Saccharomyces cerevisiae S288C: one gene and its partners. The protein of the gene in region 1 purifies or fractionates together with the protein of each later gene. This does not show direct contact. Each region holds a gene or a part of one and is shown on either strand. Other genes may lie near its edges.

Evidence for each region.
Region 2: the proteins of YAT1 (region 1) and YLR125W fractionate together in Saccharomyces cerevisiae (co-fractionation; one large-scale study listed by BioGRID). This does not show direct contact.
Region 3: the proteins of YAT1 (region 1) and SUP45 fractionate together in Saccharomyces cerevisiae (co-fractionation; one large-scale study listed by BioGRID). This does not show direct contact.
Region 4: the proteins of YAT1 (region 1) and AIP5 fractionate together in Saccharomyces cerevisiae (co-fractionation; one large-scale study listed by BioGRID). This does not show direct contact.

The regions. Positions count from the first base shown.
Region 1 is NC_001133.9:184,502-192,756, forward strand, and holds YAT1 (carnitine O-acetyltransferase YAT1), read left to right. Parts: upstream 1-5,691; coding exon 5,692-7,755; downstream 7,756-8,255. Other genes in the region: KTD1 (DUP240 family protein), read left to right, coding at 391-1,095; DFP2 (DUP240 family protein), read left to right, coding at 1,820-2,044; pheromone-regulated DUP240 family protein PRM9, read left to right, coding at 2,335-3,231; DUP240 family protein MST28, read left to right, coding at 3,606-4,310; YAR035C-A (uncharacterized protein), read right to left, coding at 7,836-7,916; oxysterol-binding protein related protein SWH1, read left to right, coding at 8,118-8,255. UniProt on the Saccharomyces cerevisiae protein: Involved in the transfer of acetyl-CoA into mitochondria. May also be involved in the metabolism of acetate and of ethanol.
Region 2 is NC_001144.5:389,553-395,898, forward strand, and holds YLR125W (uncharacterized protein), read left to right. Parts: upstream 1-3,931; coding exon 3,932-4,342; downstream 4,343-6,346. Other genes in the region: YPS3 (aspartyl protease), read right to left, coding at 1-718; YLR122C (uncharacterized protein), read right to left, coding at 1,402-1,779; YLR126C (putative amidotransferase), read right to left, coding at 5,213-5,968; APC2 (anaphase promoting complex subunit 2), read right to left, coding at 6,206-6,346.
Region 3 is NC_001134.8:526,581-533,951, reverse strand, and holds SUP45 (translation termination factor eRF1), read left to right. Parts: upstream 1-1,769; coding exon 1,770-3,083; downstream 3,084-7,371. Other genes in the region: alcohol dehydrogenase ADH5, read right to left, coding at 1-190; YBR144C (uncharacterized protein), read left to right, coding at 403-717; MAK5 (ATP-dependent RNA helicase), read right to left, coding at 3,314-5,635; BMT2 (25S rRNA (adenine2142-N1)-methyltransferase), read left to right, coding at 5,914-6,927; GTPase-activating protein IRA1, read left to right, coding at 7,324-7,371. UniProt on the Saccharomyces cerevisiae protein: Component of the eRF1-eRF3-GTP ternary complex, a ternary complex that mediates translation termination in response to the termination codons. The eRF1-eRF3-GTP complex binds to a stop codon in the ribosomal A-site.
Region 4 is NC_001138.5:176,502-186,264, reverse strand, and holds AIP5 (Aip5p), read left to right. Parts: upstream 1-5,521; coding exon 5,522-9,223; downstream 9,224-9,763. Other genes in the region: FAB1 (1-phosphatidylinositol-3-phosphate 5-kinase), read right to left, coding at 1-1,763; YFR018C (uncharacterized protein), read left to right, coding at 2,043-3,134; IGD1 (Igd1p), read left to right, coding at 3,404-3,991.

The DNA of each region.
Region 1 (8,255 bases):
GTATATTCTAATATAAAATGTACGAGCATCATTAACTTCAAGAACATTACGAAGCCCGCAATTAAGTGTCAGTCCATCTGGGTGTAAAAGTTATGTACGCTCGAAACAAATTTTATGTAGTTTACTTTAGATGCAAATGCTATTATATATTTTGCTTTATGATCCTCGGCTTGATGCTCGCCAACGTGAGATAGCTGGTCATCACAATAGATCAGCCGGGACGCTTTTCGATCACATCGAATCCCTTCGGGACGTTGCAACAATACGTGAAAAATGCCTCAAAAATAATAAATACAATGGTGAACAACGTTAAAAAAGCATAAAACAGCTGGCTATTTTGATCAGGATAACATCTATAAGTGCCATATTAAGGCAAGATATCAATTGACCATGCAAACACCTTCAGAAAATACCGACGTAAAGATGGATACTCTCGACGAACCCAGTGCACATTTAATCGAAGAGAATGTAGCTCTTCCCGAAGACACATTCAGTTCACATCTGAGTTATGTACTTTATGAAATTGCTCATTGTAAACCGATCATGTTTATGATCATCATAATCGTGAGTTTGATCTCATTGATTGTGCTTTTTCATGATAACGACGGGTGCACTGTGATCTTAGTGATGTCCCTTATAGTAGCCTCCATGGCTTTAATGGTGGTTGCAGCATTCACATTCGGGAAAGCGATCACTGAACAGGAGTTCATGATAAAGCTTTTAGTGGAGGTGATCGCACGCAAGCCTGCGGGGAAGGAATGGGGTACTGTCGCATATAATATGAACCAATATCTATTCATGAAGAGACTATGGTATACCCCGTACTATTTCTATAGCGGCAAGAAGTGCCATGAGTTCTTCACCACTCTTATCAAGGAAGTGAATTCTGGTTCGCACTCGGATTCCTCATCGAATAGTGCCGAGGATACACAATCACCTGTCTCAGCAGGGAAGACTTCAAATGGTCTAAACAACTTTTATAGTATTAGATCAGACCCTATTTTGATGGCATATGTTTTGAAGGCAACACAAATAGAAAAGGAGGCTCAAAGTGAATACTGGAGAAAGCAATATCCTGACGCTGATTTACCTTGAAGCGGAAGCATTTTATTCACCAAGTATACTTACTTTTCTTTAAAACGAGAACAAGAATCGAATTCAAGAACATCTCGAAGCCAGAATTGAGCATCATATATTCGAGCTGTACAAACATCATGGCCTACAACTATCGTATTTGTAAGTTTTTTTAGAGGTTTTCATATTTGTTTAATAAGGGTTCTGTCAGTTTTTGTCACATTCTATTGTTGCGCTTCGCATAATGCAGCCAAGAAAATCCAAACAATAGAAAAAGAAAAAAAGGATCTCAAAAAGGGTTTGGTGTTGTAGTTATAAGAATAACTAGTGAATAAAAAAGCTGTTGTTTGGTCCGTATTACATTCGTCAAAAATTTAGTACTCAAATCGTGTATGCAATCGCAACCACAAAATAAAAATATTAGACTGGATGTGTTGAGTGGAGATGGTGCCAATTTAGTTGAGGGAAATGTGGTCCTTCCCAAAGACATGTTCAATTCGTACTTAAGTTATTCACTTTACGTGTTACGAGGGGGCTCATTGTAAGCCGATAATGATTATGTTCCTGGCATCTGTAATTTTGATTTCACTGACTAATTTCCGAGTATACCATCTCATGTCCCTTCTATCCTCTTTTTTCATCTCCGGGACAGACCGACAATAAAGCATCTAATATTAGGCTTTCGTTAGAGGTAAGCACACGCCAGCGTTCGGTGAAAGGGGAATGAAACATTATCACGTACAAGATGAATAAATATCTATTTGACCATAAAATATGGAGTACTCCTTACTACTTTTATTGCGAAGAAGATTGCCACCGTCTTTTTCTAAGTTTTATTGAGGGAAGAACTTTCGAGAAGCCAACAAGCAACGCTGAGGAAAATGTACAGGAGACTGAAGCTGGCGAATCTTTCACATTAAATCCCGGAGAAGATTTTCAAAATTGCTTTCCAAGACAGCGGATATTGTAGAACAATCTCAAGTGAAGTATTGGCAAGATATTGGTGCAATTATTTGAAAGGAAGGAGAAATATTCTGACAGTACCTTGCTAGCAAAGGGATTTACCAATCCACTGACGCTAAAATGGGGTAGTAAATTAGATAAATTGCATTCTAACGTGACTTTATATAGTGGGAAACAGATATGTAGCACACAAAACGGCATGATTATGCTTAATTGATTCCTATTTTTTAACGTAAATACTCTCCCAGAACGATCAGAAAACTTAACCCGCAACCATCTTTGCTGTGCTAACAACTTATGTCGCCTCAATACCATTTTTATTTTGTATCATTCCGGAACTTAGTATTGAATGAAAAATGCCTCCGAAGTAAAAAGCAGGTGATGAAAAGTTTCAATTGGTATAAGACAGATCGCTATTTTGATCCGCATAACATCCTTCAACACCATAGCAGAGCTATAGAGAAGACAAGATATAAACTGGGCATGCAAACATCTTCAGAAAGTACCGACGCCAAGTCGGATTTTCTCGACGAACCCAGTGCATATTTAATTGAGAAAAATGTGGCTCTTCCCAAGGACATATTCGGTTCGTACTTAAGTTATTGGATATATGAAGTTACTCGTCATAAAGCGGCAGTAATTTTGCTCGTACTTATTGTGACTTCAATTTTATTATTAGTGTTTTTTTATAATACGGAATTTTGCGTTGCCTTTGAGATACTATTGTTTTCCTTTTGCTTTCCAGGAACATGCATGGTTGTAATTGCATTTAGTGAACCGATCGGTGATCGGGAATTTAAAGTTAAGCTTCTGATGGAAATTATCACACGTAAACCGGCGGTAAAGGGGAAAGAATGGAGGACAATTACATACAAGATGAACCAGTATTTATTTGATCATGGGCTATGGGATACTCCCTACTACTTTTACCGTGATGAAGATTGCCACCGTTATTTTCTAAGTCTTATTAAGGGAAGAACTTTCAAGAAGCAAAAGGAATCGTCAGCCAGCAATGTTAAAGACGCACAATCAAATGACGAAACCGCTGGCACACCAAACGAAGCCGCTGAGTCTTCTAGTTTTAGTGCCGGACCGAACTTTATAAAGCTCCTCACCAAGGCAGCCGAAATCGAACAACAATTTCAAAAGGAATATTGGCGACAAGAGTATCCTGGTGTCGATGAGTTTTTTTAGACAGAAGACGGGAGACACTAGCACACAACTTTACCAGGCAAGGTATTTGACGCTAGCATGTGTCCAATTCAGTGTCATTTATGATTTTTTGTAGTAGGATATAAATATATACAGCGCTCCAAATAGTGCGGTTGCCCCAAAAACACCACGGAACCTCATCTGTTCTCGTACTTTGTTGTGACAAAGTAGCTCACTGCCTTATTATCACATTTTCATTATGCAACGCTTCGGAAAATACGATGTTGAAAATGCCTCTAGAGATGAAAAACAATCGTAAAAGGGTCCTGCGTAATTGAAACATTTGATCAGTATGCAGTGGCACAGAAACAACCAGGAATACTATAGTCATAGGCAATACAAGGTATATATTGGCTATGCAGACCCCTCCAGAAAGTACCGACGTCAAGTTAGATACACTTAACGAACCTAGTGCACATTTAATTGAGAAAAATGTGGCTCTTCCTAAGGACATATTCCGTTCGTACTTGAGTTATTGGATCTATGAAATCGCTCGCTATACACCAGTCATGATTTTGTCCCTGGTAATAGGGGTTTTGGTTTTATTAATTATATTTTTTAATGACAACGAAGCTTGTGTTTTCAATTCTGCAATATTTGCTTTTACTTCTCTTGTAGGTTTGTTAATAATATTAAGTGATGGTAATCCAAAGCTAGTCAGTCGTCGAAATTTTAGGACCGAGCTTTTAGTGGATGTCATCACACGTAAACCGGCGGTAGAAGGGAAAGAATGGAGGATCATCACATACAACATGAACCAATATTTGTTTAATCATGGGCAATGGCATACTCCGTATTACTTTTACAGCGATGAGGATTGCTACCGTTATTTTCTACGCCTTGTTGAGGGAGTAACCCCCAAGAAGCAAACAGCCACGTCAATTGGCAATTCTCCGGTCACCGCTAAGCCTGAAGATGCCATCGAGTCAGCTTCTCCTAGTTCCAGACTGAATTATCAAAACTTTTTGCTCAAGGCAGCGGAGATCGAACGACAAGCTCAGGAAAATTACTGGCGAAGGCGGCATCCCAATATCGATGCGCTTCTTAAAAAGACGGAATAGCTTAGAGACACTACCATACGTAAAGCGAACATAAACTAGAGTATGATATATAATCAGCACTAACTGGCCGGAAAACGGCCGAAGGAAGCCTCGAAAAGTCGATTCGTGTTGGACCCATTTGCTGAACAAAGTGGTTCATTGCCTACCTATTATGGTAGTAGTCGTGATAATCGTGTGGTTGGTTTTGTCAACGGTGCATTTGCATTTTCATGACAATAAACCTTGCGTTTTCGTTCTCGGGATATTACTTTCCCTCCACTTCTTTCGCCTCAATAGCTCCTATAAGCATTCTCAGGGCGTATGTCGGTGATCGAGATTTCCAAGCAAGCTTTTAGTGGAAATCATCGCGCGCAAGCCAGCGGTAAAGGGAAAAGAACGGAGGACGATTACATACAAGATGAACGAATAAATAAATTAATAATAAATAATAATAAAAAGTACAGTAGCATTAAATATTATTAAGTTTAATGATTAAAAATTGGTTAATTGTCAAGAAAATCTAAGGTATTAATAAATAAATAATACTATGACAACTTGCAGCGAAAGCATCAGCCCCAATGAAAATTAATCAGAATTGAATCTGAGCGTATTTATTTGATAACGGTTTACGTAACTGTTGGAATAAAAATCAACTATCATCTACTAACTAGTGTTTACGTTACTAGTATATTATCATATACGGTGTTAGAAGATGACGCAAATGATGAGAAATAGTCATCGTTTTCAACGGAAGCTGAAATACAAGGATTGATAATGTAATAGGATCAATGAATATCAACATATAAAACGATGATAATAATATTTATAGAATTGTGTAGAATTGCAGATTCCCTTTTATGGATTCCTAAATCCTCGAGAAGAACTTCTAGTATATCTACGTACCTAATATTATTGCCTTATTAAAAATGGAATCCCAACAATTATCTCAAAATTCCCCCAATTCTCATCAGTAACACCCCACCCCGTATTACTTTTACCGTGATGAAGATTGGCATCGTTACTTTCTAAACGTAGGACGTGCGGAATGACAAAACCATCAGCAGTGTCACGATCTCTCCAGTCACAATGGCAATCATGAGTGCATAGTCCAAAGTAAAGGGGCAAGGAAAAGCATGATTGAAAGGACTCCCCATCTGGACTCTATATGTCATCAGCGGCTAAAAAAAAGCATATAGCACAACATCAGCATCAGCATCAGCACTAGAGTCATCGGCCCGGCGGTCCGCGGTCATCCCCGCGGACTTTCCGTCCGCCCGGCGGGCTGTATCAGCGTCAACTGGAACGCGCATATATATACAAGACACACATAACATAGAAGCACACCCACGACAATAACCACACGACAATAACCACACCCGCCCACCCCTCCTTTCCGTATACAATGCCAAACTTAAAGAGACTACCCATCCCGCCACTGCAGGACACGCTCAACCGCTACCTGGCACGCGTGGAACCCCTGCAGGACGAGCGCCAAAACCGCCGTACGCGCCGCACTGTGCTCTCCGCAGAAAACCTGGACGCATTGAACACGCTGCACGAGCGGCTGCTAGAATACGACGCACGGCTCGCGGAAAGCAACCCAGAGTCCTCATACATCGAGCAGTTCTGGTATGACGCGTACTTGCTATATGATGCAACTGTCGTTCTCAACGTCAACCCGTACTTCCAACTGCAGGACGACCCAACCATCAAAGACACACCAGAGACGGCGGCACAGGGCCCCTATGGCGCACACACGGTGCAGGTTCGTCGTGCCGCACGACTCACCACCTCTATTCTCAAGTTCATCCGCCAGATTCGCCACGGCACACTCCGCACAGACACTGTGCGCGGCAAAACGCCGCTGTCGATGGACCAGTATGAGCGGCTATTCGGCTCCAGTAGAATCCCTCCGGGTCCCGGCGAGCCCTCTTGCCACTTGCAAACAGACGCCACGTCGCATCACGTGGTGGCGATGTATCGTGGCCAGTTCTACTGGTTCGACGTGCTGGACACACGCAACGAGCCCATCTTCGCCACCCCAGAACAACTGGAGTGGAACCTCTACTCGATCATCATGGACGCGGAATCCGCCGGAAGCGGATCCGCGCCCTTTGGCGTGTTCACCACAGAGTCGCGCCGGGTGTGGTCCAACATCAGGGACTATCTGTTCCATGCGGACGACTGCACCAACTGGCGCAATCTCAAGCTGATCGACTCCGCGCTGTTCGTGGTCTGTCTCGACGACGTGGCGTTTGCCGCCGATCAGCAGGACGAGCTCACGCGTTCGATGCTGTGCGGGACTTCTACCATCAATCTCGACCCGCACCAACACCAGCCGCCATTGAACGTGCAGACAGGCACCTGTCTCAACCGCTGGTACGACAAGTTACAACTGATCGTGACCAAGAACGGTAAGGCGGGCATCAACTTCGAACACACCGGTGTGGACGGCCACACTGTGCTGCGGCTCGCCACAGACATCTACACAGACTCGATCCTGAGCTTCGCACGCGGTGTCACCAAGAACGTCGTCGACATCTTTAGCGACGACGATGGAAAACCATCGTCGTCGTCGTTGGCCTCGGCGGCTCACTCCGCCAACTTGATCACCATCCCTCGTAAACTGGAATGGCGCACTGACAATTTCCTGCAATCGTCGCTGCACTTTGCCGAGACGCGCATCTCGGACTTGATCTCGCAATACGAGTTTGTTAATCTTGACTTCTCCAACTACGGCGCGTCCCATATCAAGACAGTGTTCAAGTGCTCGCCAGACGCCTTCGTGCAGCAGGTGTTCCAGGTCGCATACTTCGCGTTGTACGGTCGCTTCGAGACCGTGTACGAGCCTGCCATGACCAAGGCGTTCCAAAACGGCCGCACAGAGGCCATCCGCTCCGTCACGGGCCAATCGAAGCTCTTTGTCAAGTCACTACTGGACCAGGATGCCTCGGACGCCACCAAAATTCAGCTCTTGCACGACGCCTGTACGGCGCACTCGCAAATCACAAGGGAATGCTCCCAGGGGCTCGGCCAGGACCGTCACTTGTATGCGCTCTACTGCCTCTGGAACCAATGGTACAAGGACAAGTTGGAGCTCCCACCCATCTTCCGCGACAAGTCCTGGACTACCATGCAGAACAACGTCTTGAGCACCTCCAACTGCGGTAACCCCTGCCTCAAGAGCTTCGGGTTCGGGCCTGTCACCGCCAACGGCTTCGGCATCGGCTACATCATCAGAGACCACTCCGTCTCTGTGGTGGTGTCCTCAAGGCATCGCCAGACTGCTCGGTTTGCGTCGCTCATGGAAAAGTCGCTGCTGGAGATCGACCGCATCTTCAAACGGCAGCAAGCTCGCGCAGCAAAACCCGCTGCCAGGACCACTGCTAGCGCCAACACCAAATCAGAAGACATGAAATACCTGTTGTCCGGCTACGATTACTTCGACGTGAGCGTGTCCGGTTGAGTTTATGCTGAGTTTTTGCGCATCAATATTATTTTTACTACTACTACTACTACTACTACTACTACATACTATTAAATATACTAAATAAGAGGAAAACGCTTTGGAAGTGACTGGCGCCGCCGCTGGCTACTATAATAGCAGCGACTGTAATTTAATCTCATCCCGTCGTTTGGATTACCTCTTTTACTCGCCGAGCGAACGTGCACCAAAAAGGGAAAGGAAAAAAAGAAAAAAAAAGGAAAAAGGAAACTCAAAACTTGGATAAATAGAAGCACTCAAACTAAATTAAACTGCCAAAAAAAAAAAAAATAAAAAGGGAAAAGTTTAAACATCAAAGTACACCTTTCACCCCTCCACACACCATGGAACAACCTGATCTATCGTCTGTGGCCATCAGTAAGCCGCTGCTGAAGTTGAAACTTCTCGACGCCCTTCGCCAGGGAAGTTTCCCCAACCTACAAGATCTCCTAAAGAAACAATTCCAGCCGCTAGACGACCCA
Region 2 (6,346 bases), on another chromosome or scaffold:
GTTGGCCCTCGTACTTGCTGTGATCTACAGCGCCGAAGAGGATGCTGCCGGAGGACTGTGACTCGTCATTTAGGAAAAGAGAGTATGCGGTTGCATCGATGGCTCCAGAATGTTTTAGGAACAGGGGAAAGTTATCATACTCGTAGCTTCTCTTGTCCATAATAGCGACTTTTCCAGAATAGGTGACTTCAAGCGTGGAAAGGCCGATCCCGAGCACACCAAAGGTTGAGTTAGATTCGTTGGCCACGGCAAACGATAGACCACTGAGGTCTAATTCGTTGTACTTTAATTTATCTTGACCAAATGCACCTTCTGCATAGGTTCCGTCACCGTAAGCGGCATAAAAAGGCGAGGACTTGTTGGCTTTGAACGTGGACGACTTGGTCTTGTCGAACACGCCATACTGGTCACAGTCCATCACAGAACCGCAGTAGGGGTTTCCCTTGCCAGGAACCCATAAGTCAGCTGAGCCTGTGTCTAACAGCACAGTGAGGTTTTGTGAAGGTGTACCAATGGCTAGCTCAACAGAATAAAAGCTTTGCTCGTTAGCTAGTACAAATTTTTCATGGCCGTTCGATCTCTTGCTGAGTTCACCATTGTCGCCGTTCTTTTTTTTTGTGAAGGGAATCTTGACGTATTTCCCATCGGGAAGTACTCTACCGAATGCCGGACTAGTTAAGACTGCTAATGTAGCCACTGCCGCCAATTGAAGTTTCATTTTTCAATGCCGAGTAATTTTGCTCTATTTATCCTATATAAATTCACAAACACACAAGTTAGCGGCTACAGATATTCATATATAATATATATACGTACATATATATATTATTATGGCGTCCAGCCTTCGACCACACAAGTTTCCTTTTGAGGCTTATAGTTCTAAGTTCTTCGCTATTTTTAATTTCTTTTCCGCGAATAGTAATCCGATCGCCAATAATTTCTACTACAAAGGAAGCGCGAAAAAAATAAGAGATATTTTCGCTATTTCTTTTGCCTGTACATGGCCCGGCCCCAAATATCCGATTCTCGTTTCTGTGCCGGATTCCACTACCACGAGACTCAGAGCCCTATAAGCCAGGAGGCCAAAAAGCAATCTCCATTACCAACAATATCGCGGTAGTGAAGATTTGTATGTATATTGAATGCCAAGACAAAATGGTGGCCAATTCTGCCATTCCGTCATAAGGGATATTGAATTTTGCTTATTTCATCACCCCACGCCATTGTTTTGTCCCGCCCGGAAAAACTCTGCCAAAAAAAGAGTACATTTCTGGCCCATCTCCGCACTAATTCCCCTTTCCTTTAAAATACGCTGCTTATAGGCGTCGAATGGAGAAAAGGTAGTGAGTGATTCCTCACCCTCCACTCAGACGTTTCTGATATACAATTGGGGAAAGGGGTTCACACACAGCAAGCCGGTATGTTACAATTGTATTTAGATAAGTTTTTCGTTTGAATGCGTTGAAAATTACTTGCGCTAGCTTCAGCTGATGTGCCATGTAACGCCGTTCTATCCACGCTAACTTCAATAGACTTCAATAGAAAGCAAATAGTTATATAATTTTTCATGGACGGTCCAGAGAATGCCACAAAAGTGCGGCCATAGAATGAAGACTGTATGAAAGAGCGCCATTGTCCCCACGTGTAACTGGGGCGAAGGGCAGGAATTCTGAGAGCAAACTTTGCTTCCAGCATTATGTAAAAAATCGAAGCGCACAATCGGACGCAAACATCTGTGTAGACGTAGAGAAACATGCAGTTTTGATATAGACGATTCATGTTGATGACGAGCAAGGCAATTTCGAGATTTGACTACTGAAGAATTTCTGTTTAGGAGCCGCTTTTGCATTATCATTGCCCTATTACGAGCCCAGTTAATGTTGGTTCGCCTAGTCTTGGGATTGGGATATAGGGTTAGGACGAGTCGATCTTAGTGGTACAAAGGAACCTCTCATCATCCTGAGTCCATTGTCTGCGTTTTTTCTTGAAGCTGAATATAATGTTGTAATTTGCTCGTTCTAGCAACTTCAGCGAAGCCAGTCTTCTAATGACTCCGCTGTTCCCAGAAAGTGTGAGCACTTACATATATGAATACAGCACTATCTGGAGAAGTGGCGCGCTCTTAATTAAAATGATGCAGCGTGTTATCACATCTTGCGTTACCGGGCCTTGCAAAAATTGCTATGTTTTTCTTGTGCTTGGTATTGCTTCGTGGAGATATATATTCTCATATCAGGACGGAATTTTACAAAGTGAGAACTCTAAATGGTGTAGTAAAGAGAAGAAAAAAAAATGCTCAGCGATTTACCCTCATTACAACCACCGAGATTCACTAGGAAACGGAGCTGTCCCTCGGAATTTATTGTCAACATATCATCCAATGTTAATGTAGAATGAGTTACCGTCTGTTACTTTTGGGACGGTTTTTGCACTAAGAACAGACGAGTTTACGGTTATCCTCAACAAGCAAGCAAGTATTTGCTAATCTAGATGCCATTCCGAATCATTACTCATACGTTACTATTGAGAGATGTTTTACAATAGATGAGAAGAATACAATGTCCAGAGCTCCTGGTATGCTAGAGTGCATATTCCAGGTCTTATTCGAATCATATCATACCGTCCATTTCAACAATGGTGAAATGTGGTCCACATATATCAGAAATCTTAACATTTAGTGAGGAGAGCCAGTAGAAAAATGTGCGCAAGCGGAAAGAAGTCATTCACAGACACGTTTAACAAAACACCACCACAGCAGCTTTGTCTCTTGATTCTGATCAGTTTGCCATCGAAGAAGCAAAATTGTGGTGTTATTTTTTTCAAACAAAACTTTTTTGGCAACAGCAGTTTTCTTCTGGATATTTGTACTTTATCATCCAACCGATGAAAGCTGGTTTCCTGTCAACCTACATTTAAATGGCCCGTACTTCTTCAAAACCGCTAGATAAGCAAATTAACCCAACTTTTGAGCGTCCTAAATTCCCCTTGGCTCAGAAGACTCGTTAATATGGGAAGTTTAAGTCCTACCATATAATCAAATTGGAAGCTTTCTGTGTTCGAATGGCTATTCTAACCGCTGGGCTATTAATCAGAGGGGAAGTGAAATGACCGAGACGTATTATACGTCATGTTGACATCAACAATTTAAGGAAAAAAATAAAAAAAAGCAATGAAAAAGGGTTTTTTTAAGTTGAAGACCCTTTTCAAATATATGTTGCTTTGAATTGTATCTACCGTCTCGTTTCTTCTGCTTTACCGTTTTTTTTTGCCTTCTTTAGATATGTCTTTTATGCTTGAAAGGTCCGGCTTTAATGCATTCATCTAAACGTAGTATTCCTATTTTTGAACTGCTACCAATCCACCATGACTTTACTATGAAGGACATTATTAGTGAACAGCTTCAAAAAAATAAACTTTTCAAGTCATTAAGATATATCTTGTTGCAGCGTAAGATGTTGGTGTTCAGTGCATTCTGTACAAAAATCCGTGTAATACCAAGTCATCCTCAGTTTACAAAGCTTGCTAGTTTCCTGCAGTTTGGAATGAACCATTAAAGACGCTAATCTTCGGATAGAGATCAGCTCCTTGATACTGTATAATCCCTATCCACTTGAATTCCTGTTGCATCCCAGTTCTATAGGCATCACCTACTGCATCACCTACTTGTATAATCCTCGAGCAGGTATGCTAGCTCTGCGTCAGTCCTTGCGATACACAACTAATGGAATATCTTATGGGTCAATCAAAACCATTCTTCTAGAACGCCGAGTTTCCAGTTTTGGGATTTAAGTAATACATTAGGTGCCTGTCACGCAATCCGTCCGCTGTATTTCTCCGCATAGAGGATTTCAGTACGAGAGAGTGAAGAGTCAAACTAACGCAACGTAGTAGTGGCTTTGGACATTGAAAAGAATAGTCTAGTCTGCCAAGCATGGGAGAAATTTTAGAACTAACTAATAAGAATTTCATGAGCCACTTGAAAAAGGACATAACTTCGCAAGAATCCTTGAAAAGTAGAATTGAGGATAAAAATGGTGATGTCGCTAGCCCGAAAGAGGATAACTATCCTCTATTGAATGAAACAGCGGCATGGCCAGATGGGGTGATTACCTCTGAAGAAGGATGTTCATCTTCAGGTGAGAAAGAGAATTCAGGCTTATGTTCAGAAGAAAGTTCAGAAGAAGATCCAGAAGAAGCTGAAGAGGAATCTGCAAGGGCTTTTGGAGAGTTAGTTGCAGTCTTGCGGGACAAAGACATACCACTGAATGTATTGGACGAACCTCAGATGAAAGATTGGCTTGAAAAATACACCGGTGTTTATAGAAGCTCTTGGCATGGTTGATTATGAAGAAAATTCCATAATTTTGCGAGGTGGGAGAATACTCTTGGGAAAGTGTTGAGAACAAAAACGCCACTAAAAACAGCAGGATTATTAAAAAGTAAAAAAAAAAAATTCCTTTTCAAGCAGGCAAACAATGGGTTATTTGAATGGAGAAGTATGCTACTATTTCTGCATGTTGTGGATCTAAGGCGATGTGGGCCTAGATTCTTTCCTTTTTTTGTTTTTACCTTAATTATCTTACGTTGTTCTTTCCGTCAGTTTTACACCTGACATGGGACAAGAGAACAAATTGTGAAATAAGTTCAAGCCTCTGTTGACATTTATTGATGTATCTATTTCTTTGAGGGTTAATTAAAGATAACAAATTGCTTTCTTCCGCTAATTTGAGCCTATTGAATTTACTGGGAAATGCCAACGTGGTCAGACATCAATTCAAGAAGTTTAGTTCTCAGAGAGTGTAACTTGCCTGTTTGGTCGCTGCAGTGAAACTGCCATTAGCTCTTTAGAACAACGTTCTAACTATACGAGGACCATATTACGTAAATCAACAAACCTCAAGAATTAGTGTCATATTTTCTCGCAGATATTACTACTGACATTCAGTCAGCTATATCCATTATGCATGAGCGAAAAAAAAGTGCATACAAAAAAGCTTATTTATTGGACTTAATAAACGAAACTATGTAGTGCCGAACCTTCGGATACTGATCATTGGAGTGATTTGATAAAGTTTCTGCAGAATTCTGGGAAATGAAGGAAATGACGTAGCGAGGCCTTCATGCAACACTAGTTGAAATTGAAAAAAAAAAAAACCTTATAAGCTATCTTTCCTATACGTCCTCTATCGACTATATAACCCAAGCAGCTGTTTCATATTTTTTGCAAGAATAACCTCCAAATATTCCTGGCAGCTTGTATGCCATTGTTATCCAGCTCCTGGCACTGTCTTTCGTATCTATTAAACTCTTCAAGGGTAAGCTTGTCTTGAGACTTCAAAAGCCCCTTCTGAGCGACATCACTATTGAATTCAGGGTGTCCTTGAAACGTCAGCACTCTGTTTTGCCTGTAAAATCCTTGGTTTTGACATTTTTCACTTGACGCCCAATTTTGGTATCCCTCTGGGACATCGAACACGCAGTCACTGTGCACTTCAGAAAGATTTAATTCTTGAGCACCAAATAACTTTTGACCCACAGAGTTCAGTTTTAGTGACACAACCCCACCTTCAAACCCTTTCGGATTCCGTCCAACTGAACTTCCTAGAGCAGCCGCGATAACTTGATGACCAAAACATATTCCAGCTACGGGCGGATATTCAGTCTTGCTAGTTAGCATCTCATTTAAGAAACTTCTTAATTTCATAATCCATTCAATTTCATTATCAAATGAATCATATTTTGAACCAGTGATGTATATGCCTAAATACTCATCTTTCTGAAGATCTGACAATTGAGGGAACACGTTTTTTTGTACGTGGAACACTTCATATTCGACATCTTCTGCGATACATTCCAATTTCCTGGTCTGTTCTAATAGCTTGATAGCCATATCAACAAAATTGCCCCATGGTTTACTCCATTCGTTATCTTCATCTGTATAAAGAATAGCTATTTTTTTTACTGTCATTATGATGTTTTCTTAGTATTTTTTTGATATAATTCAATTCTAATATATGTTAATGCATAATTTTCAGAGCTATAGCGGTATATATTTCAAACTTTCTCAATTATCTATGTGAAATTATAAACCTTATCTGTCTTTTCTTCTGTACACCTCATCTGCCACTTCCCACTTTGGCGCGCGTTGACATTTTGCGACAAAAAGAGATTGTTCGTGGCAGTCGTGTAAAAAACTGCACCTCAATCATGAGTTTTTATGCCCATTTTTCACTATTTCATATGAACCATTGGCAATGTACTTCAGCCTACCCTCATCGGCCAGAGTGTTTAAATATCCCTCTAATTGTTGAAGAGTAATTCGGTTATATCCCCAATCTTTTGGCAC
Region 3 (7,371 bases), on another chromosome or scaffold:
ATTTCAATTGAAATGGCCAATCACCGTGCCACGCGTGCAAGTCACTATGACAAACACCAGAATATTTAACGTGGACTAAAATTTCGTTAGGCTTAGGTTCCGGAACTGTGACGTCTTTATATTCCAATTTTCCATCTGTCTCATAAAAGACAATAGCCTTTTGTTTTTCAGGAATGACTTGCGAAGGCATGATGCTTTGATTTTGTAGATATGTAGTTAAATAATTTTCTTAGGTATCTTCCAATCAGAGACATTGTGAGACAGTAAAGCAGTAGTTTGCGCTAGAAATATCTTGTAGTCCCTCTTTTATATTCGTAGTATGTTATATAGATTACAATCTAGACAATACGAAGGAACGATCCCGCGTCAGCAGATGTCACAATTTGATTATTTCATTGTCACATGCTTTTTGACTCATCCTTCCGCGAAAGGAGAACTTTTTACAATGCCGCCGGCTCTGTTAGCGTACCCTTCTACAAGCAGATAGCAGAACAAACACATGATATATTCAAAAGGTGCAATGTCAGAGAACATATATTGCGCCCCTGTCCTGTAGACATCAGTCATTTTTCGCGGGACTTGAATGGCGCACCATTATCCTATACAGAAAACATTAAATTTACTGCAAAATTTTGGGCAAACGCTTGGATAGACTATGAATCCGTCATGAAGACACTACTTGTAAAATTATATATATCCTTTTTTTTCATGTGCTAGTAAGAATTAGCAACTACTTTCATTCATCTTCGACGCAACTTCGAGGAAAGCACCTTTTTACTTGCTGTAGCTCTATTCTCTTCCCCAACCACCTTTTCCTTTATTCCAAAATTTTTAAAACTTTTTCTGTTACATTATATAATCTTCTGTCTGAAATGTTTGGATATAACGCCTCTTGATCCACTTTGTATATGCGTGCTATTTATTTTCAGATTTATAAAGAGTATGAGCGTCATTTACATAAATAGCTGAAGTTATTCATGGAAAATACGAAGAGCACGTATGTGAGCCAACAGAACATTTGACGTAAGACTCTACAATGTGCCAAGAACTGGACAAGTAGAGGACTGAGAACTTTATTTCAATTCATTGCTCCTTTTTGGTGGCGCTACCTTTAGCGAAGGTCAATGATGAATGTGCACATGCTGTCGAAACCAAAAAGCAAATTCTAACCAACTTCAAAATGACATAGTCATCTGATATTTCTACTCATTATAGATAGTATGGGAGCCTTGAAACGAAAAGTAAGTAAAAAGCTGGATATGAGCAGTATGAGGTAGACCTTAGCTACATCATTTCCCCCAATAGCTGCTGCAAATATCTGGTTAAATTTGTGATTCCATGAAGAGGATAACAGACTTGTTAAAAAGCATCCTGTCAAAATCTAATTTTTGAAGGGCAGTATTCAATTCATAATTTACTTTAGCTTAGATCCTTCCAATTTATACATGGTATTATAACCAGATCATAAACTACAATCTGTCGCTACCGCATGTACGAAGAATACTTAAGTCACTTGCTCTCTCATCATTTGTACATTTTTCAGTAATACCGTTTGATAGCGCCGTCTTTATTACCCGGATTATTCCGTTGACCCTGAATGAAAAATTTTTTCAGAAATCCAGTGCTAAGCGTCAAATCAATGAAATACATCACTGTATTTTTAACTGATATACTGTTGGTGTGGCCTTAACGACACCTTTATTTCTTAATTCATTTCGGCTTGTCTCCTTATTAAGACTACAGAAATAGACAAAGGAAATACTTCAATAATGGATAACGAGGTTGAAAAAAATATTGAGATCTGGAAGGTCAAGAAGTTGGTCCAATCTTTAGAAAAAGCTAGAGGTAATGGTACTTCTATGATTTCCTTAGTTATTCCTCCTAAGGGTCAAATTCCACTGTACCAAAAAATGTTAACAGATGAATATGGTACTGCCTCGAATATTAAATCTAGGGTTAATCGTCTTTCCGTTTTATCTGCTATCACTTCCACCCAACAAAAGTTGAAGCTATATAATACTTTGCCCAAGAACGGTTTAGTTTTATATTGTGGTGATATCATCACTGAAGATGGTAAAGAAAAAAAGGTCACTTTTGACATCGAACCTTACAAACCTATCAACACATCCTTATATTTGTGTGATAACAAATTTCATACAGAAGTTCTTTCGGAATTGCTTCAAGCTGACGACAAGTTCGGTTTTATAGTCATGGACGGTCAAGGTACTTTGTTTGGTTCTGTGTCCGGTAATACGAGAACTGTTTTACATAAATTTACTGTCGATCTGCCAAAAAAGCATGGTAGAGGTGGTCAATCTGCGCTTCGTTTTGCTCGTTTAAGAGAAGAAAAAAGACATAATTATGTGAGAAAGGTCGCCGAAGTTGCTGTTCAAAATTTTATTACTAATGACAAAGTCAATGTTAAGGGTTTAATTTTAGCTGGTTCTGCTGACTTTAAGACCGATTTGGCTAAATCTGAATTATTCGATCCAAGACTAGCATGTAAGGTTATTTCCATCGTGGATGTTTCTTATGGTGGTGAAAACGGTTTCAACCAGGCTATCGAACTTTCTGCCGAAGCGTTGGCCAATGTCAAGTATGTTCAAGAAAAGAAATTATTGGAGGCATATTTTGACGAAATTTCCCAGGACACTGGTAAATTCTGTTATGGTATAGATGATACTTTAAAGGCATTGGATTTAGGTGCAGTCGAAAAATTAATTGTTTTCGAAAATTTGGAAACTATCAGATATACATTTAAAGATGCCGAGGATAATGAGGTTATAAAATTCGCTGAACCAGAAGCCAAGGACAAGTCGTTTGCTATTGACAAAGCTACCGGCCAAGAAATGGACGTTGTCTCCGAAGAACCTTTAATTGAATGGCTAGCAGCTAACTACAAAAACTTCGGTGCTACCTTGGAATTCATCACAGACAAATCTTCAGAAGGTGCCCAATTTGTCACAGGTTTTGGTGGTATTGGTGCCATGCTGCGTTACAAAGTTAATTTTGAACAACTAGTTGATGAATCTGAGGATGAATATTATGACGAAGATGAAGGATCCGACTATGATTTCATTTAAATAAATAAAAGGGGGAGAAAAAAATCGAATCAAAAAGAATTTAATCACTAGATGCCAGATTTAAATTAAATTCGCTTTTAATTTTTTGTACAATATAATATATACTTGGTAAACCTTTTGCTCTATATTGAGCTAATTCCTTTGTTGAAAGTACATAGTGGGTTTAGAGGACCGTGTATATTACGTAGAAAATACAGTGAAAGGAGAGTTTCTCTTCAAAAGCCTCGAGATTAATTATTTCTCTTTTTCTTTTTCTTCAAAGTTTCTAAGGCGTTTGTCTTTTCATGACCAATGATAGAATTATGACCTCTTTTTTTGACCAAGTTATCAGCTAAATTCACTAGCCCACCTGTCAAATATTTCTGTCTTCTATCTTTACGTATAGGCACTGATAACAATTCGTTCAACGTAGCTCTCATGGCTTTTACCTTGTCCTTATTTATAGTCTTCTGCATTTTTTTATTTTTATTTTTTAGTAAGAAAGTGTCCGAATTACTCTTTGATATATCGTCTTCGTCGGAATCAACGTCAATACCTAATTCATCAGCAGCCTTTTTTAACCAATTGTCATCTTTTCTTAGGGAATTAGAAGCAATTTCATGATCAGCCAGTTCGCCTGCTAATCTACTTCTTTCTCTGAGTTGTGAAAGTATATCGGTTTCAATTGGTAACAAAGGCACAGTGTTTTGCCACTTGATGGGTTTTCTGTTAGTTGATCTAGAGTTCAAATCCGTCGAAACACTATTTTTTGTAGCGAGAGTTTTTCTTAACTTTCTTAATGGGCCCATAGATTCTTGAGGTGAGCATATCATGGCAGAGACACCTTCAGAACCTGCTCTTGCAGTTCTGCCTGATCTATGAATATAAATATCAGTAGATCTTGGTAAGTGGTAATGAATAACGTGTTGAACACCCGGAATATCTAAACCTCTAGCAGCAACATCACTTGCAATCAATACTGTTGAGAGTTGAACGGAATCCGGATTCGAATGATTTATTGTTTTCTGTTTAGCGCTTTGTTGCTTGAACCTTTCTAAGCTTTTCAAACGGTTCTTTTGTGTCATGGAAGAATGAATTTGAAAAGCTGGGATGCCTAGGTTATTTAAGTATACGGTCAATTTCTTCACGGAGTCAATGGCATTACAAAAGATCAAAGTTGTACCTGGGAACATGGTTAAAAAGTAATAGCAGTATAGGTCACGTTCTAATGGAGGACATTCAATTAAGGATTCTTTGATTTGAGAGCTCACTTTTGACTCAGGATTTGTATCTATTATAACCGGCTTTGAGTTGAAGTGAATTTTGCTCATTAAGTGTTGTATTACGGCATTTAGCTCATCTTCGTTGTTTTTAAACCTTCTATCCTTAACTTGACGGGAAGAAGATAGCTTATCAAACAAGTCGATGGAGAATGTTGCAGAAAAGATCAAAGTTTGCCAAATTTTGCTACTGCCCTCGGAGTTTTCTCTGTTTTTCCTTCTTTCTACTAATAAATGTTTAATGATTTTTTCGAACTCGTCGAAATGACCGTCTTGTAACAGCCTATCAGCCTCATCAAGGATTAGCGTATTTACTTTCGAGAATCTTTTGATTAAAGTGTTGTCTTTTTCCAACAGTTCCAAAAATCTACCTGGTGTTGCGATGACAATTTGGCCACTATTATCGTACTTTAATAGACGTTGTTGTTTTTGGATAGAGAGTCCACCTGTCAAAGATAATATCGAGTACTGAGATTTCGCTAGAACAGGCTCACAGATCTTTTTTAAGTGGTCTGTGACTTGATGCGCCAGTTCTCTTGTAGGAGTAAAGATTAACGATATTGGTTTCTTGTTTTTCTGAGAGAAGTTACTGATCAGTTTCTCTACAATTGGAATACCATAGGCTAAAGTTTTACCTGAACCTGTAGAGGCTTTCCCCATGACGTCTACGCCTTGCATAATAACTGGAATAGACTTTTTTTGAATTTCTGTAGGTCTGAGAAAATTTAAATTCTGCAAGCTCTGCAAAATAGTCATTGAGAGAGGTGCAAGATTCGTCCATTCAGGTAAATTTACAGGAGAAATATCATCGATATTAATGTCTTTGTTAAAGACGTTTTCTTTCAAAACATCCTCATCCACATCCTCATCCACATCCTCACTGGGATCGGTTAACTTTGAACTCTCAATATTACCTTGCTCATCCTCGTCGGATGATGAATAAGATGCTGCACTCAACTCTCCTTCTTTAATATCGTCCAAGTTCTTGAATTCAAGGAGCTCGGACTCCGAATCTGACCCTGATTCATTTTCCACAGATTCCTGATCATCTCCGACTTTTTCCTTATTGCTATCTTTTAACACTTTTGAATCTTTTTTGGTGACGAAAGTTACTTTACCATCCACGACTTTAACGTCCACTCCGTCAATTTCTTCCAAGCCATAAAATCCACCAAAGTCATCTAAAGTGTCCGGAATATCTACTGGTTTCCAGTTCAATTTGGATTCATCTACAATTATCTCCTGTGGCTTTGTGACCGTTTTTCCTTTTTGAGGAGCCCTTTTCTTACCCATGATGGAAAAACTGATTATGCCGGTATTTGACTAAAGAATTTCTACCTGAGGTTATGATGATAATGATGGGCAGGTTGGCGAATATAACTTTTTTAGATGGAAATTCTTATAAGCTCATCGCTGGAAAAGTTTTTCAGAGAAAAAGAAAAGTACGGACTAACTAACCTTGAGGCGGGTTTGTGAGGTGAAAAAAAATATAACAATTATAATATCGATGAGCTAGCCATGACCTTGATGGCAATCTTGTATCAGCTTAGCGATACCACTAATACAGCGGAATGCATTCAAGAAAGTCGAAGAGTATTACGGGCAAGAGGAAGCAAGTAGGAAGTAACGTGACGAGAGTAATCAAGCCACAGAAGACAAGAAGGATAATAAGAAGATTCCACCATTTAATTAATAAGCGTCAATCGATATGCAAGTTTTTATGCCTTAAGGAAAACCTAGATGATTCCAACGAGGAGAAGAATGACAAAATTATCAGGTTAAGTATTAAAGGTAATGTAAGACTGGGCAAGTACTATGAAGACGGCAAATCGCAGTCCTTCAATGATGCTATGGAATCACAACTACTGAGGCTGCACTCATTAATTAAAAATGAATCCAAATCAAAGGATACTTCTGACTTGGCTGTGATGTACACATTACTTGGTTACATAATGAATCAGATTAATAAATTGGGAGGACTAGAAACTTACCAAATTGCCAGTCAAAACGGGCAATTGAAGGAACGAGGAGGAGACACGTCCAAGTTGCTCGAGAAATGGATCAGGTCCTCATTTGAAAATTGTCCTGGAGCAGTGGCATTAGAAATTGGTTCATTGAGCTCCGGAAATCGCATATCCCGTTGTGCACTTTTTAGAAATGTGGTTCGTATAGATTTAGAGGAACATGAAGGCGTTATTAAGCAGGATTTTATGGAAAGACCGCTACCGAGAAATGAAAACGACAAATTCGACCTGATATCATGCTCTCTAGTGCTAAATTTTGTCAAAAATCACAGGGATCGCGGTGCAATGTGCCATCGCATGGTCAAATTTCTCAAGCCGCAAGGCTACATCTTTATTGTTCTGCCACAAGCCTGTGTGACGCACTCAAGATACTGCGACAAAACACTGTTACAAAACCTCCTCGGCTCTATCGGGCTCATAATGCTTAATAGCCATCAAAGTAATAAGTTGTACTATTGTTTGTATCAATTGCAGGTAGTTCCACCGCAGCCGAGTAGCTTTTCCAAAAGAATCAAGGTTAACGACGGCCCTGGGTTGAACAATTTTGGTATTACCCTCTAAGCGAGCCGACACCGCCTGGAAGTTTTTCATAAAGGGATACAATATAGAAAGATGTGTAAAAACGTTAAGTAAAAGATGAGCAAATGAACAGTGTTCGAAGGAGAATAACAAGAGTTACTGCTCATATAAAACTAATATACTAAAGGTTTTCGCTTTGTATTACGATTGAAACAATTAACTGTTTTTTTTTTTTCCGCTTATTACACAGTACCGGTTTCATTTACGCCTTTGATCATTTTATTGGCATTGGGCTCATAGTAGTTTTCAGCGCGTGGTTAAGCTATTTAACGAAAGCGTATAAAGTCAAGTGATCATCTTTTGCCCTGCAAATAGAGCTTCAAACTTAACATTCTTCTTCAGCATATAACATACAACAAGATTAAGGCTCTTTCTAAAATGAATCAAAGCGATCCGCAAGACAAAAAAAATTTCCCAATGGAATAC
Region 4 (9,763 bases), on another chromosome or scaffold:
TTATTATTATTATTATTATTATTATTATTATTATTATTATCATTATTTCCATTTGCCGTGTCATTTTGTTGCGAAGGACCTTTGGAATTGTAGTTGAATTTAAACTTGTAATTTCTATGAGCATAATTCCCGATAATACGATTGGCAGGATCCAGTATGGAAGAAGACTGTGCAGACGAAGCGGGTGTTGCAGAGCTATTGTTACTGTCCTTGTTAACACTATTGCTGCTTACATAATGGAAAATAGACCTTCTTAAGGAATGCGCAGGATTATTGATGTTGCTGTTGCTATTGGTATTGTTATAGTTGCTGTTGTTGGAAGTAGTGTTGTTGAGGTTGTTGATGGTAATAGTGCTGTTATTGGTGTTATAATGTGGCCTCAAAGTGGAATTAGAGTTGGTATCGTAATGTGATATATTGTCCATATCTCTGATAGTGTACCTTGTGGGCACGGAATCGAGGTGATGATGGCGACCGGGGTTGTCATCTTGATAATGCAAAGCCCTATCGTTTTCCGAATCGAATGAGATTTCCAGCGATCCGCCTTGCTTTGTTGCTGGGATGGCCATCTTCGGTGGTGGTGGGGGTGTAGAAATGAACAATTTAGAATCTTCACCTGAGGTCATTATACTTTGTACGTCATCGTCATTTAATAGGTAGACCTCATTCTGCTGTTGAGGGTTATCCGTTGCTGCTACTGGATCATGGAGATCGGTACCGTTATGGTTGTCCTGTGAAATGAGATGCAAATGCGAATGTGAATGAGAATATGGATTGGTATTGGAAGAACGAGAGCGAGAGCGAGACCTTGGCTCATTCAATTGCATTGTAGAATCATTCTCTTCATCACTGGAGTCCTCGTATGTGTCTGCATGCTCATAACAATTGTAACATACTCGCATCTTGGCATGACAGCCGAATCGATCACCATCTATCAAGAGAGTGCAACTGCTGCAAAAAATTTGGCCGCATATCCTGCAGTGGTGTTTCCTTCTGAAAGTGTTAAACGTTTTACCACAACTGAAACATTCTTTAGAACTCTCGTCCTTCATCCAATATTCCTTTGAGAGGACACCATTGTTACTGGTCTTGTCCTTCTTGCGGTTGTTATAAAATGCGAACAGGAAACTCTTGGACAGGGATGCGGTCAACGAAGAAGAGGCACTCTTTATCGAAGACACTTCATCGCCAACGTCGTCATGATCGCTGTCAGGAGTGCGCGCATAGGAATTCTGCATGGAAATTGGCCGATTGTTCCTAATGGGGATAGCAGTAACAGTGGATTTGGAGGCATATATGCTAGATCGTTTAAAGTTGGAGTCGTTCTTAATGGGCAGCTGCAGCGAGTGAGAAGGCTTATAGCGACTCGGATATCTCTTGATGGTGCTAGAGGGTATCCTCCCACTAGTTGTTGGCGGCAAATTTTTCTTATTCACGCTGGTACTAGTGTTAGCATTAGCTTTAATGTTCGAATGCGACGCAGTGCCGGTCACGTGACTTGTTGATGTCGCTGTTGCTATCGAGGATGATGTGGGGGGGCTTATTTTTGGCACGGAGATATTGCTCAGAATTGGGTTTGTCACTAGATCCGTCGTAGTCGACGTCGTAGATGTCGACATAATGTGCAGGGACGGTTTCTTAATATAGTTCGGTCTGGATAAGGTAGCATCGATTGTGTTCACAGATGAAGTACCAGTGGAGGACGACCGGACATGTGAGCCATCTGGAAAGGATATAGATGCATGGGGTTCTTCCGATGACATGCTGTGTGACGGTCTTGCATGTACAGGATGGAAGCTACCTTGCTATTCGAAATAGTTTTTTGTTTGGCCCTTTATTTACTTTCCATATGGTTTTCGCGTTCGTCAAGAAGTACATTGCGTTTGCGTTGCCTTCGAGGCGAGACGAAGGAAGGAACATAAGAATATAAGAAGCAAAGGAATAAGACGGCTTGTGATACATTTCATGGGAAGAAGAGGGGGAGAGGGAGAGTTAGAGAGAGTCAACAGAAAAGAAATAAAAAGACTGAAAAGGTCGTAAGCATGGGAATGAAGTACGTATTGCCTTTGCGACTAATTGGTCTAGCGTACCTGTTGGTGCTATTTCAGGTGCATAGGGTAACTGGGTGGGAGTTGTCATATGAGCAGTACCATGCAGCGCATCTGAACGAAGCTATCAACCCAGACAGCGGTTGGAACAAAAGTACCAAGAACCTGCTGTTGCCTTTTAACAGAACGCGCGTACCCGGATCGGAAGGCTCGCGCGAGATCCAGCGCTTCATCATCGAGCACTTCAACAATACGCTGGCGGGAGAATGGGCCGTTGAGACGCAAGCCTTTGAGGAGAACGGTTACCGCTTCAATAACCTTGTTATGACATTACAAAACAATGCGAGCGAGTACTTAGTGCTCGCTGCTCATTATGATACCAAGATAGCGCCCACGGGGATGGTGGGCGCTATCGACAGTGCCGCCTCGTGTGCCGCGCTGCTATATACGGCCCAGTTCCTAACGCACATCGCGTGCCACGAGCGCACGAAAGAGTACAATGACTTAGAGTCGAACACTGTAGTATCGAATTCTACCTTGGGTGTAAAGATCGTATTCTTTGATGGAGAGGAGGCCATTGAAGAGTGGGGCCCCGAGGACTCGATTTATGGAGCACGCCGATTAGCCGCCCAATGGCTTGCTGACGGCACGATGACAAGAATTCGCCTATTATTTCTTCTGGATCTTTTAGGAAGTGGCGAAGAGGAGCCGCTAGTGCCCAGCTACTATGCAGAGACACATCAAGAATATCAGCTGCTCAATCGAATAGAGGATGACTTGTTATTTCGACGTGGAGATGAAATCAACGGCGAATCGGCATTAGCCGCCGAAGTCGCGCGTCAACGCAAACATCTGGACCCCACGGACTATCGATTTTTAGGGCTCGGGCATTCGGTCATCGGAGACGACCACACGCCATTCCTGGCCGCCGGAGTACCCGTATTACATGCAATCCCGCTACCATTCCCAAGTACATGGCACACCGTGGATGATGACTTCCGGCACTTAGACGCCGCGGAGACTCGTCACTGGGCGCTGCTTGTGTGCGAATTTGTAGTACAGTCACTACGCTCCCGTAACCAGTGATAAATCCCCTGTTTCCTTTCGTTAACATCTCCCCCTGATCTGGGGGATGTGGGGTGGAATGAGTGGCCCGGTCAATGTCAGTGCACCACTCTGAAAAGCTTGCACACATACATATACATATATATATATATATATGTAGGTATAGTAAAGGTTTGCCTGAGTAATTTTTGCGCGAGAGATCTACTATCAGCAGCGATGAGAGCAGCTACATAACACATAGTAAATCACACATCTACGCAACACACACACACACGCATACACTCACCCTCATGACAGATCCCCACTTGAACACGCCCCAAGTGAGCACGTCACCCACATTTGAAAGATCACAGGACTTCCTCAACATCGACGAACCGCCCTGTGCACAGGAAACACCTAGTGTTTCTACATTCAACCTCCCGGGTCCAAGCGCTCCCGCTCAAAGCGTAGACAAGCCAGTCCCCATGATTAGACGGCGGTCTACCAATTATATGGACGCACTAAATTCCAGGGAACAAGCCCGGGAACGCGAAAGCAGTATCGGGGAGCACGCCCCGGGAGCCGAACGTAGGAGTAGCGGACCCATGGATTTCCAGAATACTATCCACAATATGCAATACAGGACCACTAACGACTCTGACCTGAGCCACGCTGGCGTGGATATGGGTGACTCCATCTCCCATACACCGATCTGTTCTCGTGCTGGCAACAGACCCATTTTCAAAAACTCGTACCTTGACAACAACAGCAATGGTAACAGCGCAAGAGTCCCACACGGCTCTCCTCCACAGTTGGGCACGCGTAGAAAGTCGTCTTTTAAGTACGAGGACTTTAAGAAGGACATCTATAACCAGCTTCACATGTTTGGAGAGAAGTAAAGCCTCCCTAGTGTCGTCCACACCTACCCACTCATACATATGTACGTAACGTCAATCTCTTTAGCTTCTTTTCTACATTTTTTTGTATATGTACCAAAACGTTGCGCATATTCTTCACTCATTTGCTCCCGTGGCTCGGCGGCTATTTTTCTTTTCCTACGGAGCGGACTGTGGTGCTTACGTGATAACAAACAACCCGAGACAAGATCCAATCATTGTCTGACTGGTATTCCTGCCACCATATTAAAAGATAAGACGGTCGAAAGATAATACATAAAGATAGGTGGAAATTGAGATAAAACCAGTCCAAAAATTCTAGATATATCTAGATATAGAACCAATTTTTTTTTCCCTTGTTTTTGATATGTTCCTTCGCTATCCTATTACGTTATTCATTCTTGCATTTCTGATTCCCTAGACTTGTTGACCGCCTATCGCCATTTAAGTTACCTTCTTTATTATATATTACTATATAGTGTTGACATGAATATTGTCAATTATAACAGTTAATTCCTATTTCAACGGGCACAAGTTACAAAAAAACTTAATCTGTTTCAGATGTCATTTTTATTTAGTAAAACTTGAAACGTACAATAAAATGACAGCGATATCGTGTAGAACTATCAATTCATTTCAATGGATTTCTGTACCCTCACGAATAGTTTAGATTATGTTATATAGGCGTGGTGATAATGCGATACTTTTTTTATTGACATAGTATTCATGACAGTACCTCTGCACAAAATAAAGTGTTTTCCGCGATCCGTACCTAACGTTGCCGCATGTTCGGTGAGAATTGGGAGAATAATTTGATAATTACTGGAGTTTCATTGTTGGTAAAGGCTATAATATGATGAATACAGAATGTACTAAATCCTCTCATTTCAACATATACGACCTAATTTTTATGAAGCTCCCTCGTCTTATTTTGTTTTGAATACTTGCCGGTGGTAATCGCATCATTTTCAAATTTAATTTCAAAATTATATATTCTAACTCTCAACTCCTTTCAATCTTGAGGTGCCCGCTGTTGTAAACAAGACTTCAGACCTACTAAAAAGGTGGGGAGTGCTCAAGAACTCGGATGTAAACTAACTAATAAGTGCTTATTGAGAAAGATAAGAATACAGAGACAATTGTTGCCTCGTGGCGGGGCTATTTACAGGTATTTCTGGTTAATGTTGGAGCTGTTGTGACCTTATTAGAACACGAACACTTCCAAGAAATAAGCGCAAGTGGTTTAGTGGTAAAATCCAACGTTGCCATCGTTGGGCCCCCGGTTCGATTCCGGGCTTGCGCAGTCCTTTTTTTAAGGATAAATTTATCCTAAAGCTTCCGAGAATATAACAGACAAGATGAAAATATTTGTTAAGTTTCTGAACACGAAATTGTCGTATATTTTCCCTTAATATTTCGTAGTCACTTCGCATATAAGCAAGTGGTTTTATTCCAGAACACTTTCTCTTTTTAAACCTGTTAGCAATTATTGTACTGGTGTGCTTGATTACTCTGGATTAAATAAAGAGTGACATGGTAGAATCTTTGACTGTAGAAAATCAGGAACACAATGTTCAACCCCCATCGGTAACTAGTGCTGGAGATTCGTATTCGACACTTGCTACAGATCTTCCCTTACCAAGTACGAATGATATTATAGAAAGTCGAGATCAACTTACAGAAAGTGACTTAGATGAAGCGATAAATGCCACTGAGAATTTTGCACAGGAATTATCATCTCAAAGGAAATCTTCTAAATTGAAAGGTCATAAAAAGAAAAACCAGGGACAAATAAAGGCGAATCGTGACAGAGATACTATTGTAAAACTTTCCAGTTCTGTTGGTGAAACCGAGGAAGCTTCCACACGGGATGCAATCTCTCATGATTTGGAAAGAAAAGACGACGTAATAGAGATAGCCACAGATACAATAAATGACGCTACAGAATCTCCCACACAGATCCCAATAGACGTCAATGTAGTTATCAAAGAAACTTCTACTAACAATGTAGCGGAAGGCACAGAAAATGTACCACCAATCAAAGAATCCACAGGAATTGAGGTTGGCAATAGCCCAATTACGAGAAGAAAAAAAAACAAAAAGAAAAAAACCACGAATAGAAGAGGTCGTAATTCTTCAAATCCTGCAGATACTACTGATTTGTCAAAACAGTCAACTTTAGATTCCATACTAGTAGGCATTGAAGAGTACCTACAGGAAGATGGTTCAAAGAACGAGGATATCAAAGTAAATATTGTCCAAGATGAGCCTGTTAATGTCGAAAAAATGGATATCAGAACCAGAAATGAATCTAGTGACAAAACCTTCGACATAGATGTGCCTAACAAAGATAATGTTGACGAAACTTCCTCAAAGTCCGAGAACAATATCAACGAGGAAAAGGCAGAACATACCTTACCTCGAGAAGAGAATGAGATCTTAAATGTTAATGAGGGAAATGCAGCTTCTTTTAAACACCAACTAGAGCCGCACGGTTTGGAGGCAGGTGATGAAAATGGGCAAGCGTCTACTAAGGATGTTGAAAGTGAAAGTTTAACTAAGAATGGGTTTAATTTCAAAGAGAACGAATCAAAACATTTGAAAGCTGGGGAAAAGCAGCAGACTGAAAGTGATAGAGACGGAATAAGTCCTTCAGTTCTTGCAAAAAATCAGAAAGAAACAGAAATCGGGAAAGAAGACCATGTTTTTGAACAGAAGGATAAAGAAGACGAAAAATGTAGGAAAGAATTATCTGTTAATCATGAGAATAACATGAGCCATAATTTTAACGCAGCTGGTAGTGATAGTATCATCCCTCCAGAAACTGAGCGAGAGACTTATGATGACGAAACGATGGGACCAACAAAGCGCATTAGTGACAATGAAAAAAATCTACAACACGGTACTAACGATATATCTGTAGAAGTTGAAAAAGAAGAAGAAGAAGAAGAAGAAGAAGAAGAAAATTCGACTTTTTCAAAAGTTAAAAAAGAAAATGTAACCGGGGAGCAAGAAGCTGTAAGAAATAATGAAGTGTCCGGTACCGAAGAAGAATCTACATCAAAAGGAGAGGAAATTATGGGGGGAGATGAAAAGCAGTCAGAAGCGGGAGAAAAATCTTCCATTATTGAAATAGAGGGAAGCGCAAACTCTGCAAAAATTTCTAAAGATAACCTTGTTCTTGAAGATGAAGCTGAAGCACCTACTCAGGAAAACAAGCCTACGGAAGTTGTCGGAGAAATCGATATACCTGACGCGCCTAGGGATGATGTAGAGATTGTTGAGGCTGTGGAAAAAAATATAATACCTGAAGATCTCGAGGTTGCCAAAGAAGATCAAGAAGGGGAACAAGTCAAGCTGGATGAACCTGTTAAGGCCATGAAAGATGATAAAATAGCAATGAGAGGTGCTGAGTCTATCAGTGAAGACATGAAAAAGAAGCAAGAGGGGACTGCTGAGCTTTCCAACGAGAAAGCAAAAAAAGAGGTTGATGAAACAGCAAGAGAAAGTGCAGAAGGTGTAGAGGTTGAGAAATCGAAGACTCCTGAGTCTCCAAAAGTAGTTAAGCGTTGTACCTCCGGAAGACCAGAAGATCTTCAAATCAACGAAAGAGATCCTGAGGTTCTAAAGGAAGATGTTAGAGTTCCCGATGAAGATGTAAAGCCAGAAATTGCAACAACCATTGAGAATTCCGAAGAAGAAGATCCCAAATCCCAGCGCGTTCAAATTTCAACAGAACAAGCTGAAACTACACAAAAGGATATGGGAGATGTAGGATCTACTACTAGTTTCAAAGAAGAAGAAAAACCCAAACGCTTTGAAATTACACAAGAAGGCGATAAAATCACCGGCAAAGATACAAATCATGAACATGGTGAAGCTACTGAGGCTGCGAGCGAAAATTCAAAAGCAAGTGATGTTGGAACTGCCGAAAAATATATAGAACCTAGCAGCGAATCTGTCAAGAAGGACACCGAGGAAGATGCAGAAGTGGAGAATTCCGAAAAAACTGAATTTATCAAGGTAAAGGCAGAGCTTGAAAATCTTGACGCTCCAAAAGAGGCAGAAGTCACTGCTGAACTGAATAAAGAAAATGAAGATGTGGAAGTTGACACCGAGGAAGATGCAGAAGTGGAGAATTCCGAAAAAACTGAATTTATCAAGGTAAAGGCAGAGCTTGGAAATCTTGACGCTCCAAAAGAGGCAGAAGTCACTGCTGAACTGAATAAAGAAAATGAAGATGTGGAAGTTGCTGCAACTTCAAAAGAAGACATCGAAACAAAATGTTCGGAACCTGCTGAGACTCCAATAGAGGATGGAACATGTACGGAGGCAGAAGTTTCAAAAAAGGATGCGGAAGCCGTGACAAAAGAAGACGAGAATATGGAAAATTCTAAGATTGCTGAGGCGCTCAAAGATGTCACCGGAGATCAAGAGATCGACGATATCAACATTTCAGACGAATTTCAAAGGACAGTCGAATTGCCAGAATTGGAAAAACAAGATATAAAGGATAATAAAGGAGAAGACAAGGAATTGGAAGTAGAAGAAACAGAGAAAGAAACTTCTCTTCCTGATCTTGTAGTGGAAGAAAACATCACGGAGGAAAAGAATGAAATTAAGCAAGAAGAAGAGGAGGTATCCCAGTTAGACTTCAATGAAACAGAGTCAATCAGTAAAGAAGCCCCAAACAATGACGAAAATGGATTTGAAGATCAAAGTACAAGGGAAAATCCCAAGAAAGCAAGTGCAGATGACATCTTCAAAGATATTTTGGACGAAACGAATGAGTTTTTAGAGCAACTAAAAATTGTTGATGATTCTGAACTAAACGCTCTACTCCAATCACTAGATGCGAAAGACTCCACAACTCAAACTACTGAGCAATCCAAGAAAAACAATGACAAGCCACAAGACGTAATAACGACTAGCGAGATCCGGAAGCTGAATGAAAAGGAACCTGTATATATATACACGTCACTAGCCGGAGGCGGTTTCCATATGATCCCCAGAACAAATCGCTTAAGCACAATCCTGACGGCCAACCGAATCCCGTTCACCTACAGAGATCTTGGCACAGATGATGAAGCGAGAAAAGTTTGGAAGACTTTCAGCAAGGGTAGGAGTCTTCCAGGTGTGGTCAGAGGACACAATGACTTAATCGGGAACTGGGAAGAAATAGAAGAAGCTAACGAAGACTACAAATTGCGGGAACTCATTTACGATACTATTTAAGAAAGCTTAAGCGCGCTACGTAACTAACATAATCTCTTGACAGCACATGTGATTTATAGTTCTCCTCCCACGTTTAACCCACATAAAACAAGGTAAAAGAAACCTTGTCAAATAATTGCTCTATTGACAGGAGCAAAGCTTGCCCAAAGAGGTTGCACAGAAGCGCCGTAAACGGAATCTTTCAGGGGCACAATTTCCCGATCGGTACGGCAAAGGCAAAAGCCACCTGCGCGGCTACTCAGGGACCATTTCCTGCCACAGAACTTCCCGTGAAACATGCCCCGGCCTATGGGTTCCTGGAACCCCCCACAAGTAATACCCCTTGGAGGATTTTTCAGAAAGAAAGCGAAGCTATTGTTAGCTGGTCAATTGAATAAGGGCAGACAAGAGGCTGTATGACTACAGTTGCATGCGGAGACGGCTTCAACAGCAACAGCAACAGGAAGTGTTCACACCAACGCACAGCCTACACCGGTGTATATAAACATAAACTCCTTCTTTTCTTCCCGCAACGGTTCTTCTTATTACCTTCCACTTTTT